2 linked regions of the Astyanax mexicanus genome follow. The protein of the gene in region 1 purifies or fractionates together with the protein of each later gene. This does not show direct contact. Links are inferred from orthologs where the notes say so. Each region holds a gene or a part of one and is shown on either strand. Other genes may lie near its edges.

Region 1 (6,870 bases):
ACAGGGCTATAGTTGGCAATGGTATCATCAGGGATTAAAACCTGCAATCTCCTGATTAAACGGCCAGAACTTAAGTCCCTTTACTCAGGAGCTCTCTAGAAAAAGCAGCTCAAAACTGTCACAGGGTGATACCAACAAGCGTTTTTGTTGATTTTTAGTTTACTACAAAACATGAATACACAAACTGTCCCTTATACTGTGTGAAAATTTCTTGATGGATGGACCAAAAGAAATTCTTCTTTATTGCCTGAAATTAACTCTTTTCAAACTAACTTCCATTGAAAGTTGGAAAGGTGGTTTCATATCTCTCTTGTAAAATACTAGTTTTTCATTGGATAGCACTCTGTACAATAGTTCTGTCTATTTCTGACAGTGTACCATGTTTACCTCTGTGGCTTTCCTCACCTATAGGCAGGTTTTACACATACAATTTCTATTTGAGCAGAGATAAGTGTTGACTTCTGATTTGCAGCCAACATTTTAACATGACAGGTCCTGTTTTGACTAATAGTCAGTAAAAACATTATTATCTATATAGTTAACATACAGTTTTGCATGGGTTAATTGGCCAATATTGCAGATTTGAATGTAGCAGTCACAGAATACGTGTTTTAAAATATGTTATTGTGCCATCTCAATCCAGATCAATCTGTTAAGGCACACCAACATTTAACCTTTATTCATAATATGAAAGCCTGGCGTGTCCTCTATGTCTAATTACAGAATTACAGAGTGTATCTGTGGTCAAGTTACACTGTGACTTTCATAGAAGAGTGAGGGGCAGCTTCTCAAACAGGGATAAAGCCTAGTTATAGATTATACTTAAATGGAATATCTCAATTCAAGATGTCAAAGAAGGCTTAAACTGCTAATTTATAACCAGAAGTAGGCCTGAACTTGGATTAGCTAAGGTAGCATTCTCAGTATATACTGTATATATAGTGTTCTCACTGTAGCTAAAATGCTCAACAAATATGGGCTCAGGTCCAAAAGGGTACGGGGTAAACAAATGACACGTACCTTCAGAAGCACGAAGAACTCGAAAATCCTCCGAAAGGACGGTGGGAATAGCCTGGCATAGGTGACTGCCATCTTAAAGAAGAGGGCATGAAAGAGGCGGTCCCGCACGTTGATGAGGGGGTTCTGGTTGATGTTCGGGTTGCGGATTCGGTTCGGACCGCCATTGTTGTTCAACGGCACGTTGTTGTTGTTTAGGTTTCCCTGGTTGTCTGACATGTCTAACGCCAGTCCCACGAGTTTAGTGCGAAAATTTGATGGCCATGTAGGTCAGACAGGGAGCGACATACGCAGATACTGATAATTAACAGTACTGCCACTTAACCTAGTTAACTAATGCTAGCTAGCTACCTAACTAACAAATTAACGTGGGTGGCTGTAATTAGCTAACCTGGGTTTGCTAGTTAACTGAGAAACATTAGCTATCTTAGTGTGGTTATTTAGCGCTAGTCTGCTAGCTTGTGCACTACAGTCTGTGCATGTACTTTAACTAACGTTATAAACTGCACCAAATTTCTTAATAATCCAGCCTACGTCGTTTGACTGAGCTAGCCCTAGTTATCTTGGATATGTGTGTCTCATGACATCGCTACGAGTTTGCTGGCTTGTAAAAACAAGCTCAGTTAGCATTAGCTAACCTAGCTACCGCTAACTACTGAATGGGGGCATGTCACACTCCGTAGACGTTGTTTTTTTAGTCTTCTTCTGTTTTTATTTCGGTCTATCCTTAGCTAAATAGCTTTGTCAGCCTTAATAAGATGAACAACACCGAACTAGCGTTAGCTAGCTTAGCATACGTGCTAGCTAGCGCTAAGTAAACTGTACCTGGCCCTACTACTCTACTAACCCAACTAACCAGGCGTTAGCTAGCTACGCTAGCTACAACCTCGCTAGCTCACGTTTGCTCCATTTACCACTAAGCTAACTATCTTAGCTAAGCTAACTGATTTAAATACTCCAGGTCAATTAACAGAGTCTGTCAGTGTTGCTGAAATGTAGCTAAATTAAAAAGAGCTAACTAAACTCGATGCCACTTGCTAGCATAGCCCGCTAGCCTGTTGCTTATTAAACTAGCAGCTAACCTAGCTAGCTAGGCTAAACTACAGTTCAGTCTGACGTACAGCTAGCTGCACACAGAGGCCGTATGATCTGCTGCTCCTCAGATCAGCTTCTCTATTAAACACAGATCCTGACACTCACTCTCCCTCTACCGCACACGGAACCGTAACGACGCTAAATACAATCCCACGGGATTCCTCTCCGACAGAAGCTGCCAAGAACTTGTATCCTCTCGCTGTGGTCCCCCTGTTTACACGACCCTTTTCTAATCAAGGCGTACTTGGGTACTTCAGGAGTGACGAGAGCGAAGAAAGTGAGCGGTTGGCAAAGACAGTCATGCCGATGTGTTAGACCCGGACTCAGCGGCTGATCTCAGATACAGCGCCACCTCTACGCGGGACGACTACAAACACACCTGTGGCAAAATCGCCTAGATCCTCAGTTAATCAATTTGATTCTACCCTTTTAAAACAATGGTCTGTGTCAAGAGCATGAATTATTAAGGTAATTTATTATGCGTCAAGTCAAAACAAAATGTGACGTTAATTTTAATAGCCGTCCTTCACTGAACTAATTTCCACAGTTCAGGGCTTGTCCCCAGTTTGGTAATTAAATTAAATTAAATTATATTGATATAGCGCTTTTTACAACATTTGTAAAACCACACACAGTGCACCACAGTGATGCCAACAGTAACAAGGAAAACCCCCCTCATACTAAGTGGAAGACACTTTAGGATAACATGGTAGGCTAAGATGTTTATTAGATTTTTACTATAATATACAGTTTACTTCGTTTTAATAAAGACTTTGGGCTATAAATATTGCATAGATGTTTACATTTATTTTTTAATTTTATTTTTTATGATTTTAGTACGGTCAACACATTTATTAGTTGCATTGTTACCATGTTATTACAATTGAGTTATTATAATGATTTAATTACTATTCTCGTGTGACTTAATAACAATGTAGTTAAATCTTTATATTGAATAGAGAACAAAATGAAAATTAAAATATATCACAAAAGTTAATTAAAGGAGTAGAAACCTAATTTTAAACAACTATATAATGTCAATGGATAAATACATAAAATGTTTACCAAAAATTAGACATATAGAATTGCACCAAATAAATGACATTTATTTCAGACCTTTAGTAACACTTAATACAGCCCACAATTTAGTGTGTAAATGTGTAAGTTCAAATAACTTATGAGTACATACAAGATACAAAAATAAAGTTAGGGAGGTAAATAAAAAAAATACACCACATGTTTTGGGAAATTGTTATTTTCTTGTTATTGGTTGGGCTTTTTTGTTGTTGTACATGCATTTAAGTACCAATAAGAACCGGCACGTATTTTATATGTGTAACGGGCTTCTTAGTGTTACACATGTATAGGCTCATACAGGGATTATACCATACATTTTGGTAATTACATACTAAATGTCGGAAAATTGCCCAATTGTTCCACTATTGCTACTGTATTTTATATGTGCTGGTTCGTACTCGGGTCCTACTCTCTGGTTCCTGGTTATCCTCATTACTTTATTCGTAGCTACATTTAAGTAGCAGTAAGACAGACCTTGTAAATATTTTGTAAATACTGGTTCATACAGAGAAGTTACGGGACATTTTATTAAGTGTTACCATATATTTTATGACATAGATTATATTTAGTTAGCTAGTTAGTCTGTTAGCTTAGTTAGCTAACAGTTAGTGTTTCTGTTTATGGTTAGGGTCGTTACACTCCTGGCCGGTAACGGCGCTCTGACAGGTCAGTGCTGGGCGGAGCGCAGCGCTGCAGAGGAAGACTCATACACACAGCAACAGCGCTGTAGTTCACTGTATAATCTCCATACACAGAAACTTTATTTTAGTTTAACTGTGTTGTTTCAGAACCGTGTGGATTGTACATATTTTTTCTAAATACGTCGCTTTTTCCCCCTCATTTGTATCAAATTTGGTGAGATTTTGCGCTTTGTTATGACGAACTGGTTAGCTAAATAAGCTAACAAGCTAGCGTTAGCTGGCTAGCTAACAAGCTAGCATTAGCTGCTAGCTAACGCCGGGCAGTAGAGTCTATTGAATGGCTCTCTGTTCACTTGAGCGTTTGTATGAAACCCGGAGACATTGGAGGAGTATATCTATCTTAGTTAAATCGTTAATGTATTAATAATGGAGGTTGTGTATGTGTGCGAGTGGGAGAAGAGACCCAAAAACAACCACTGCCCCTCCATCCCGCTGGTGTGTGCCTGGTCCTGCAGAAACCTCATCGCCTTCACAACAGACCTGAAAAATGAAGAGGACGATAAAGGTAAGAGGAGTCCTTATACTAGTGCTCTCTGTTATCCTCTGTCTAATATAAAGTGTAGTTAGTTATATTAGGTTATATTCTACACTTTATTCATTTATGTCTATGAATTTTAGCCAGTGTACAGAACTTAAGCCTAACACTATGTTTGTGTCTACCACTTTTAGTTAGCTATGCATATTTCAGATCCACTGAACATACTACTGCATTTCAGAAAAATAAAATATCATTAAAAAGTTGCCTTATTTCAGTAGTTCAGTTCAAAATGTAAAATTCATATACAGCTCTGGAAAAAATTGAGAACACTTTCTTTGATTTTACCAAATTGAAATCCTCATAAAGCTATTCAAAAGCACTGTGTAAGACTGGTGGAGGAAAACATGCCAAGATGCACGAAAACTTTGATTAAAAAGCAGGGTTATTATTTTTATTTTAACCATTTCTCATTTTCTGCAAATAAATGCTGTAAATGACAATATTTCTATTTAGGAATTTGGGAGAAATGTTGTCCGTAGTTTATAGAATAAAACAACAATGTTCATTTTGCTCAAACATATACCTATAAATAGTAAAATCAGAGAAACTGAAGTGGTCTTTTAATTATTTCCAAAGCTGTATTATATAAATGTTTTATACACAGTAATCTATTATCTATAGTTGAAGATGATGACAAAAATCAGTATCTCAGAAAATCAGAATATTATATAAGACCGATTGGTACTTGTGGCGGTGTGGGCAGTGTGCCGAATTCTGCTGCAAAATGAAATCTGCATCTCTAGGAATCATTAAGTGCTGTAAGATTTTCCGGGAAAACATTGCACTGATTTTGGATTTGATTTAACACAGTGGACCAAAACCAGCAGATGACATGACTATCCAAACCATCACTGATTGTGGGAACTTCACACTAGACCTCAAGCAGCTTGGACTGTGTGCCTCTCCACTCTTCCTACCGATTCTGATTCCTTGAGTTCTCTGATCCCTTGATTATTTATAGCAATATTTTGAGCATACACACAATTGTGCTGCACATAATCCAGTTAAACATTACTGATTAAACTCTCTGTAATGTAATAGTGATGCTCATCAGTGTTCTTTTAGCAGTAATGTCATCCAAATATGCTTCGATATCACAAAAATTGAACACAATGCAATACAATGTAGAAAGAAGCCCTCTTCTATTGCACATACAGATGTTACATATTTTATAATATGCAATAGTATTGTGTTATTTGTATTAGTTGCTATTTACTGGAAAGATTTATGGGTTGTTTTTGTTTAATTGTTTTGCACTTTATATGCATGCACTAAATATTCCACACTTTGGTATTGCGCTAGATTTGTTGCTAAATTTTTTTGTTGTTACATTGCTTATTTTGTTATATATTTTTTGTACGAAACCTGAGACTTCATCATTTATTGGTTTGCTCTGTTGAAGCTGTTTTCTTTTGTGTATCATGGATATATATTTTTTCCCCTTAGTGCAGTCTAAGTGTTTAACATAGTACATTTTTTGCTTTAGAACTCAGTCACATGATTCATATCATTGACACTGAACACCCCTGGGATGTCTACTCCATCAACTCGGGTCATAGGGAAGTTATTTCGTGCTTGGAGTGGGACCAGTCAGGTAAGTTAACCTCACTGTTTAAAATTTAATTGTAAAACGGCCAATATTTTTGCATTCTCTCATATATACATTTTTTTCTAAATGATCTAATATTGCAAAAGATTAGCACTGTGTGCCCTGATAGGTGAAATTTTAGGACAAAGAGTATTGTAATGATGTTCACTCATTTTAGGGCTGCAGTATATTCATATCTAATTTTTGCCTTCATTCATTAAATTGTGTGTAACTAGGATCCAGACTGCTCTCTGCTGATGGGGACGGAGAGATCAAGTGTTGGGCAATGAAGGAACACCTTGTGAACAGCTGGGAAAGTATACAGAGCAGCTCTGTTGATGGAGACCCTATTGTAGCTCTCTCATGGTTGCACAATGGGGTCAAACTTGCACTGCATGTGGAGAAGGTAAGAGCAAGAAATTTACCCACATTTTTTAGTATATATTTTAGTATAAGGCACACTTAAAGTTCTTTAATTAAAAAAAAAAATGTCAGTGCACCTTATGTATGAATTCTACCAGTCAGGTTGTAAAGAGCAGTAAAGCCACTCCGCTAAAGTACAGCATTATAGTTTAGTTTTATAGTTTAGTTCTCCAGCATCTGAACTCTTTAAACTTTATGAATATGAACTAAAGGCTCTGCCTCTTTTTTATTATCTCAGCCATTTCTCATTTTCTGCAAATAAATGCTCTAAATGACAATATTTTTATTTGGAATTTGGGAGAAATGTTGTCTGTAGTTTATAGAATAAAACAACAATGTTCATTTTACTCAAGCATATTCCTATAAATAGCAAAATCGGAGAAACTGATTCAGAAACTGAAGTGGTCTCTTATTTCGTTCCAGAGCTGTAT
Region 2 (7,121 bases), on another chromosome or scaffold:
CGTCTTTTTAAACAACAGTTGTCATTTTAGTCATCGCATACATTTGATCCGAAAGCCTGAAACATCTAGAAACGTGTTTTCACAATGTAGACGATCCACCTTTTCTGGACTGGTCCTTTGGTTGTTCACACCTGATATTTTTGTTTGGACCAAACTGAGAAGTCCAAAAGCCCAGGCCAAACAGGGCAAGTGTGAAAGCACTTTAAGGTCACTTTAAGAAGGACCAAACTGTGATTGCCAGATGATTTGGTCAGAACATCTCCAAAACAGCAGGTAGACCTTGTGGATTGTTGCCAGCAGGAAGTGGTCAGCACCTACCATATGTGCTCTAAGGAAGGACAATCAGTGAACCAAGGACTAAAAAGAGATCCTGCTAATGTTAGTCTTTGTGCTAAACACCTTGGTGCAGAACACCTACAGAGGTCTTGTACAGTGAATGCTCTTATGGGTCAGACATGTTTTTAGAGGAATGATGGGGGGCCTACACAATATTAAACAGGTGCTTTTAATTATATGACCAATTGATGTATATCAGAATCATTGGAATTTTCAGATTTTGATATGTCTGAATGTTTGTAAACACTGTTTCTAAATAATGCATCCTTTGCCGTCACAGCAAATGCAGACACAGTCTAGTCCATGTAAAGAACTACTGCCAATGGAATAGGACTGTTTATCTGGAGCCGATAAAAATGAACCTGTTGGCATCATGTCATATCATGTCAAGTGTGAGCTCATCTCCATATAGTACTTTAAGGATGAGGTGGGGAGCTGTGGATGGAGTAGACTGGTGATCATCCAACCTCAGGTCAATACTGCTCTTGCTGCTGAATGCACTCCAAAATTTAGTAGATAGCTTTCCCTGCACAGTAGAGACAATTACTCCAAAAAACGCTAAATTTAATTTTAGAAGAAACAATAAAGTAGCAGGTGTCCCAATACTTTTGTCCATATAGTGCATTTACATGAAATATAGCAGATAACTTTATCAGCCTTAGACATCTCAGTGTATGTATTATTATTTTTAGATGTTTAATATGATGATATTTAAACAGAAACTAGCTGTCTGTTTAAATAACATAAATCTGAGAGTCTAAGAGAGAGAAAAGAACATCTTCAGAGGGGGTTTACAATTAATGGGCTTCTAATGTTAGTTTTTAAAATGTTGCATTTATTTGGAATCTGCTTTGTACACATTATGGTTATAATTAGTTAAGTAACATGTAATTACTATCTGAGTTTCATTTAACTAGGTTTATGTTACACTAGTGTCATCACCAGAATGGCTGTGTGGTTAGTAGGTACATCTCTGACAGTAGATACACCTTCCCTGCACAAAAGAGAGAATGTTACTTCAGCAAAAGCTAGAATAACTCTTTTAAATACCCATGATTTTGGAAGAAACAATAAATAATTGAATGCTTGATTCAATATAATGTGTTTTCTTGAGTATGTGTATTGGACACTCTAAAACTGTACAAAAGAGGTTTTCAAACTTTTCCACATCACGACCCACCTGTGTAAAAAGCATAACTACCCACAAGATAACAAAACAAAAGCTTTTTGACAATCTCTCTATAGATGTTCTGAACAGGTCATCTAGCCATCACAGCTCAGTCCTTCTTAAAGTGACTTGCCAGTTTGGTCCAAACAAAAATAGCAGATTTAAGGAACCAAAGGACCCGCAAAAAAGGTAGTCTTGGTCCAGATCTACTAAACCATGGCCCAGTTCATCTTGAATTGTAAATCTTTTTGAACCTCTCTACAAGGGTTTGGTAGGTCACCCCTGAACTAGACAGTATTATGATCCATTTAGCTATTCCAGTGAATACTGAATGACAGCATCTGGACACATCAGTAGTTATAACATGTTCTAACACTGCTGCTGAGTTTAGACTTCTAACAGTAACAATGAAACTTCTCTCTCCAGCCTGTAGTTATATTACAATCAGATAATTCCTGACTAAGGCGCTGTCACTATGATCAGGAGATTGCTGGTTCGAATCCTGTTTATGCAGCTTGCTATCGGCTACCGGAGCCCTGAGAGAGCACAACTGACCTTGCTCTCTCTGGGTGGGTATTTGCACTTTCTCCCCACATCACTTCAAGGGGTGATGTCCGCAGCACAAGGCGTCTTTGAGATGATGTATCGGACAAAAATAGAAATAAAATTTAAAAATTAAAAAATCAGATAATTCCGGTCACACTTTAAAGACGTTAAGTCCTGCTTTTGACACCAAGACTGGTGCTTTTTCTTATTTCTTACTAAAGCAGCTCGAGTATTGCACATTTAGACAAGTGATAACTCAAAGCCTGAGCCTGAGACTGTCCAATAAGAGCGAGGCAGGGATCACTCCTATTGGACAGCCTTGTGAGGCATGAATGCTCCAACTCCAGAGTAAAACCCTGCGTTGTAAAACAGCTTCACGTGCAGAGAGACAGTCATCCCCTCTGAGCTGTAGTGTATTTCACTTCACGTTCACACTGTAAAATAAACAGCAGCAGCGCGGTGTCGTTCTGGGGGGAGGACCGTTTTGTGTGTGTGTGTTTATAGATGTGCGTGCGCGCGCGCGTGTGTGTGTATAAAAACAAAACCAGTCCCAGACTCGAGCTCGGTTTCTTACACCCCCCACCACACACACACACACACTCGCCTCCGCGCTTCTCCTCGCGAAGGAGAAAGTGCGCGTGGAGCGGAGAAATGAGTGAAAGCAGGCCGTTTTAGCTCGCTGTCTTACCCGTCTTTGCGCTTGGCTTTATAAACATGCCCGTAGGTGCCGCGACCCACTTTGCAACCTTCATATTCGAACAGATCCTCCACTCTCTCCCTCTCCGCGGCGAGCTTCGTTTTGAAGTCGTAGTCCATCGCGACCCATAAATACTTCTTAATTTAGGATAAAATAAAATATTAATTATTACGTGCATTAATTAAATAATCTGATCGCTTTATTCCCCCACCATTTCCTTGTTTGGGATTTTGGTCTGCTCCGCTTAATGTTCACTGGCTCGTTGAGCGTTTTTTTGCTGGTGCGAAACGCTTTCTGGGAAATGTAGTCTTCCCGCAGCAGGAGGCCCGCCGAGCGCCGTGAGATCAGCGCGCTGCGGGAACTACAATCCGCACAGCACGCCGCGGTGATCGCACTTGCGTAGTCATGTTCGCGCTCTCAGAAAAAAAAAACATTGCAGGGACGGGAGAGAATTCATATTGCATATCGTATGTTTTATTTGTTTTTTTGCTCACATGCGCCGAACCCTTAAACTGAGACAATAAAACTAAGACAATGGAATGGAAACCATTCCCTATAATGCTATTTAATGTGATAAAAAAAACTGTTCAGCCACTCTTTGCAGTAAAACTACACAAAAGACTGTATTTATATATGACTGTCATAACATTATAAATAAGAATTTTCGAGTTTACCCAGGGGAATTATATTGCGCATTTTTTGTAAATAAAAAATGCCTTTTCTGGATTTACATTCCCTTTTTTCTGTGTCTACGTGAAAAACAGTCTTGTGTTTGTGTTTTAAACTGTCCTTTTACTCTTATCAACGCTGCTTGCCTTTTTTATGCGTCTGCATCACTCGAAATGATTCCCATGATTCTTTTGTAGGATATGCGCAGTATTTATGTGTGTGTAATATAACCTAAGGTTAGGACAATACAAAAATACCTTTAATACTTTTTAAGCTAGAATTGGACTGCTAAAATTGTGCCGTATTAATTGAAGTACGTTAAAATCAACTGAATCGGTTCTTTTGAGTGGACTGTTTTGTTGAATCGGTTAACTACTTCACTGAATCAAACTTCTTCACTGCGCTGTCAGAACTGCAGCCCGCCTTGAGAAGACGCCTTTACGCAACGCTTGTCCTCGGAGTGGCAGAAACCTTGGCCAATCCTATGCGGGCTAAGGGCGGGACTTTATGTATGATTGGTCTGTCTTATTTTTTACGTCAGCGGCTAGGTTATAAAAGCTCCGCGCACCCAGTAGTCCGCGCTTACACAGTATGGCCGGCGATATTAGCTAGCACTCGCTCACGGTGTTCTCTGTAAAAGGGGAAGACGGTAAAAATCATTTAAAGCATCCCAAGAAATCAACACCCGGACTGCTCAAGGACTGTACCAAGATCTCTATAAGTTATCTACCCAGCAAAAAGGACTTTAATAAGCTAGACCCGAGCTAGGTTTATTTTTTTTTATTTTTTTTTCTGTTGTTGGTGTCTTGTTTGTCTCACGATGGAGGACAACGGTGCACACTTCTTTGAGGGGACCGAGAAGCTGCTGGAGGTGTGGTTCTCCCGGCAGGACGAGACCAAAGGAACCGGGGACCTCCGCACCATCCCGAGGTTTGGGGGCGAATTCTCTAAAGCGAGATGTGTGGATGAAGCTAGATAACCAGATAGATCTGTGGGTTAGCTGAGGAGCTGGGTTAATGCTCTAGGCTTTGGCACGCGTGTCAGTCAGCTCATATAAAATAGACATAAAACTGAACAGTATGATTCTGTTAAAAGGTTGGTTTGGTGATTTAGATGATCAGATAGCTGGCTAACTTGTGCGTATCTCTCTGTGTCTCTCTGCTGTGGCTCAGTATGGCAGCGTCCCTCCCCCTCCCTCCAGTCAGTCAGTCAGTCACTCATTCATTTGTGCTGCAGTAACGACGGAGCAAATAGCTCCAGCCCTGATCAGCTCAGCCTCGCTTTAATCAGCGCTCTGATCTGATCACTGATACCCTAAACTACTAAAGAGTAGTCTGTGCTGGTTTTATAACTATCTTCTTATAACTATCTTCAATGACAATGAAAAAAAAATGTTAGCTAAGCTCGCTACGGCTCTCATTTCACTACGCAGTTCTATCCGAACCTCCCCTTTAACACGGGTTTGGCCTTATTTATCCTAATTTAATTACAAAATTCTAAATGTAAAAAAATGCCAGATCAACGTACATAGCTAAGTTTGTCTAGCTACCCTGGAAATTGTGCGGTTGCTAGGTTAGTTAGCTAGCGACAAGCTAACGCTAATACAGTATGGCGCGAGCCATTAGCGTTAGCCACCAGGCTAACTAGCTGCTCTGTTTGCACTGACGTAGCTAAGCTAAGCGAGCTAACCTAACCTGCACCCAATACTCTTAACAGGCAGCATAACTACAACACATGCTCCATTTGTCTCTCTAGAGGTTTATCATCAGAAAAATAACGCAGAGGAGTTTTATATTTAGAGGGGTGAAGAGGTGCTGCGCTCCATAATCTGTGTTGAGTGAAACGTGGGCCCTGTGGAGCATGTGGTGGTGGTGGTGGCGCCCTGCTGCCTCGGCTGAAGCCCCCCCAGTTTTAGTCTCAAATGACAGACTCTGACACTCAGATATTAACTCAGACATGTTAAAACATGTAATAAAGAACATTTAGGTATTTTATGTCGTTTTTTACTAGAAGCGACTCTATTACAGAGATAAGCTATGGAATGTTAAACATTAAAAATTAGCTAGTAATTTAATTCTGACTAGGCATGTTCTACCATCCGTTTCGAACTAAAATTTCACTCTTTTAGTAGTTAGAAGAGAAGTTACAATTATATGTAATTACTCATTGGCTGGTAAGAGTTGTAATTCCAGATATCTCCACTGTAGGTAAATTCTGTCTGGTAAAAAAGTCCAGGTTCACATATTTGTAAATTTATTCTGACTAGAACAAATGCTAATTCAAAATATATATAATGTTTTGGCTAGAACTGTATTTCAGATATGTGTTTAAATCTCTATAATATAAATAGATAAATATGTACTAATTAAAAAATTTACTTGTACTATAATAAATTTAATGTTATTGATGTTAAAATCTATAGTTTTGCTATTTCAGACAGAGTGCAATTTCATGCAAGTTAATTGTAACATATGACCAGTCAAATTTACACTCGGGGTATGTCATCTTGGCAAAATGGCTACTCAGAATGGCCTCAGATCTGGAGACCTGATGTTACTGCTAAAAAAAATAGCAGATAAAACTTGCAATAAAGACGTATGCAATTTAAGGTTTTACCAGTAAAAAATGAATTACAACTAGCACAATACAAAAGCAAAACAGACGCATAAAAAGTGACAAACATTACGTAGCAAAAGATAATCTGAAATGTATTACAGAGAGTTAAAGAAGTGCTGGGGTGAAAAAGAACTGGAGAGACACTGCCGCAGTGCCAACCTGTCACACAGACGATTTACAGCACCTGCAGTAGCCTGGCTAATACCCAAGAGTTGAGAGAATGCTTTCCAAATGAATGAAACTCACCTTAAAATGAGTGTTAAAACTGTAAGACGGATCTCAAAATGTGTGTTAATGTCATATATTGCTCATAGAGCTTCTAATCATTTCAGTACAAATAGTGTATAGTCATATAGAGCCACGATCAAGGCTCAACCGACCTGAATGTTTGTCGAGTTATATTCTTTACCCTTTGTAAATGTCTGTTTGGGGTTAAATTGAAAAATATGTTTAAAAAATGTTTTTTATACAATGATAAAACATCTGAATCTTAAAATGTGCATTTGCAGTGTGCAATGTCATTTCACACAGAAGTGAAGTATGTAACATTAGGTGCTTACAAAATAGTTTCTCAGAAGGAGCTTTAAAGAAAGTCAGTTTCACAGAATAATATGATTGAGCAAGCTTGAGTTTTTCTTTGATCTAGGTTAACTTAGCTTTACTTGTTTGTCTTTATATTTTTAGCTTTATCTGCTTTTTCCAGTGGTTCCTGACTGCTTGTTTTTAGACTCTAGTGTTTTCTGTTCTGTCAAAGCCTTTATTCAGTGTAACAAGTTTTCCTTGAGGCTAAAATTATGTTTTGATTGGTGTAGAGACTAAATATTGTGCAGTGTGTAACTGCTCTAGGACCAGGGTTTGGAAATACAATGCACTGCGCCATGTGGAAGTCACGTTTTTCCCCTTGTGCCGAGCAAACTCCTCCTTGTGGCCTGATTGGAGGAGCGTGACCTCCAGCTGTGCTCTGACCTCTAAAGACCTGCCCCCTATTCAACAGCATGAAATGTGGTTGTAGGCATGGAGGTGCTGATTCATCTTGTAACGAGCGGAGTTTAGCTGCTGTGGTTCTTGCTGAAATTAGTTTTTGAAATT

Evidence for each region. The genes of interacting proteins can lie anywhere in the genome.
Region 2: the proteins of med16 (region 1) and cdk19 purify together in Homo sapiens (affinity purification with mass spectrometry; 6 studies listed by BioGRID and IntAct, counting the BioPlex papers as one, with this or other methods). This does not show direct contact. The link is inferred for Astyanax mexicanus from reciprocal best matches to the Homo sapiens genes MED16 and CDK19.

What each region holds. Positions count from the first base shown.
Region 1 is NC_064423.1:18,118,102-18,124,971, forward strand, and holds the start of med16 (mediator of RNA polymerase II transcription subunit 16), read left to right. Parts: upstream 1-3,850; 5' UTR 3,851-4,256; coding exon 4,257-4,395; intron 4,396-5,914; coding exon 5,915-6,022; intron 6,023-6,252; coding exon 6,253-6,422; intron 6,423-6,870. Other genes in the region: tmem259 (membralin), read right to left, coding at 1,021-1,236. UniProt on the Homo sapiens protein: Component of the Mediator complex, a coactivator involved in the regulated transcription of nearly all RNA polymerase II-dependent genes.
Region 2 is NC_064408.1:47,104,165-47,111,285, forward strand, and holds the start of cdk19 (cyclin-dependent kinase 19), read right to left. Parts: upstream 3,020-7,121; 5' UTR 2,867-3,019; coding exon 2,739-2,866; intron 1-2,738. Other genes in the region: amd1 (S-adenosylmethionine decarboxylase proenzyme), read left to right, coding at 4,237-4,346.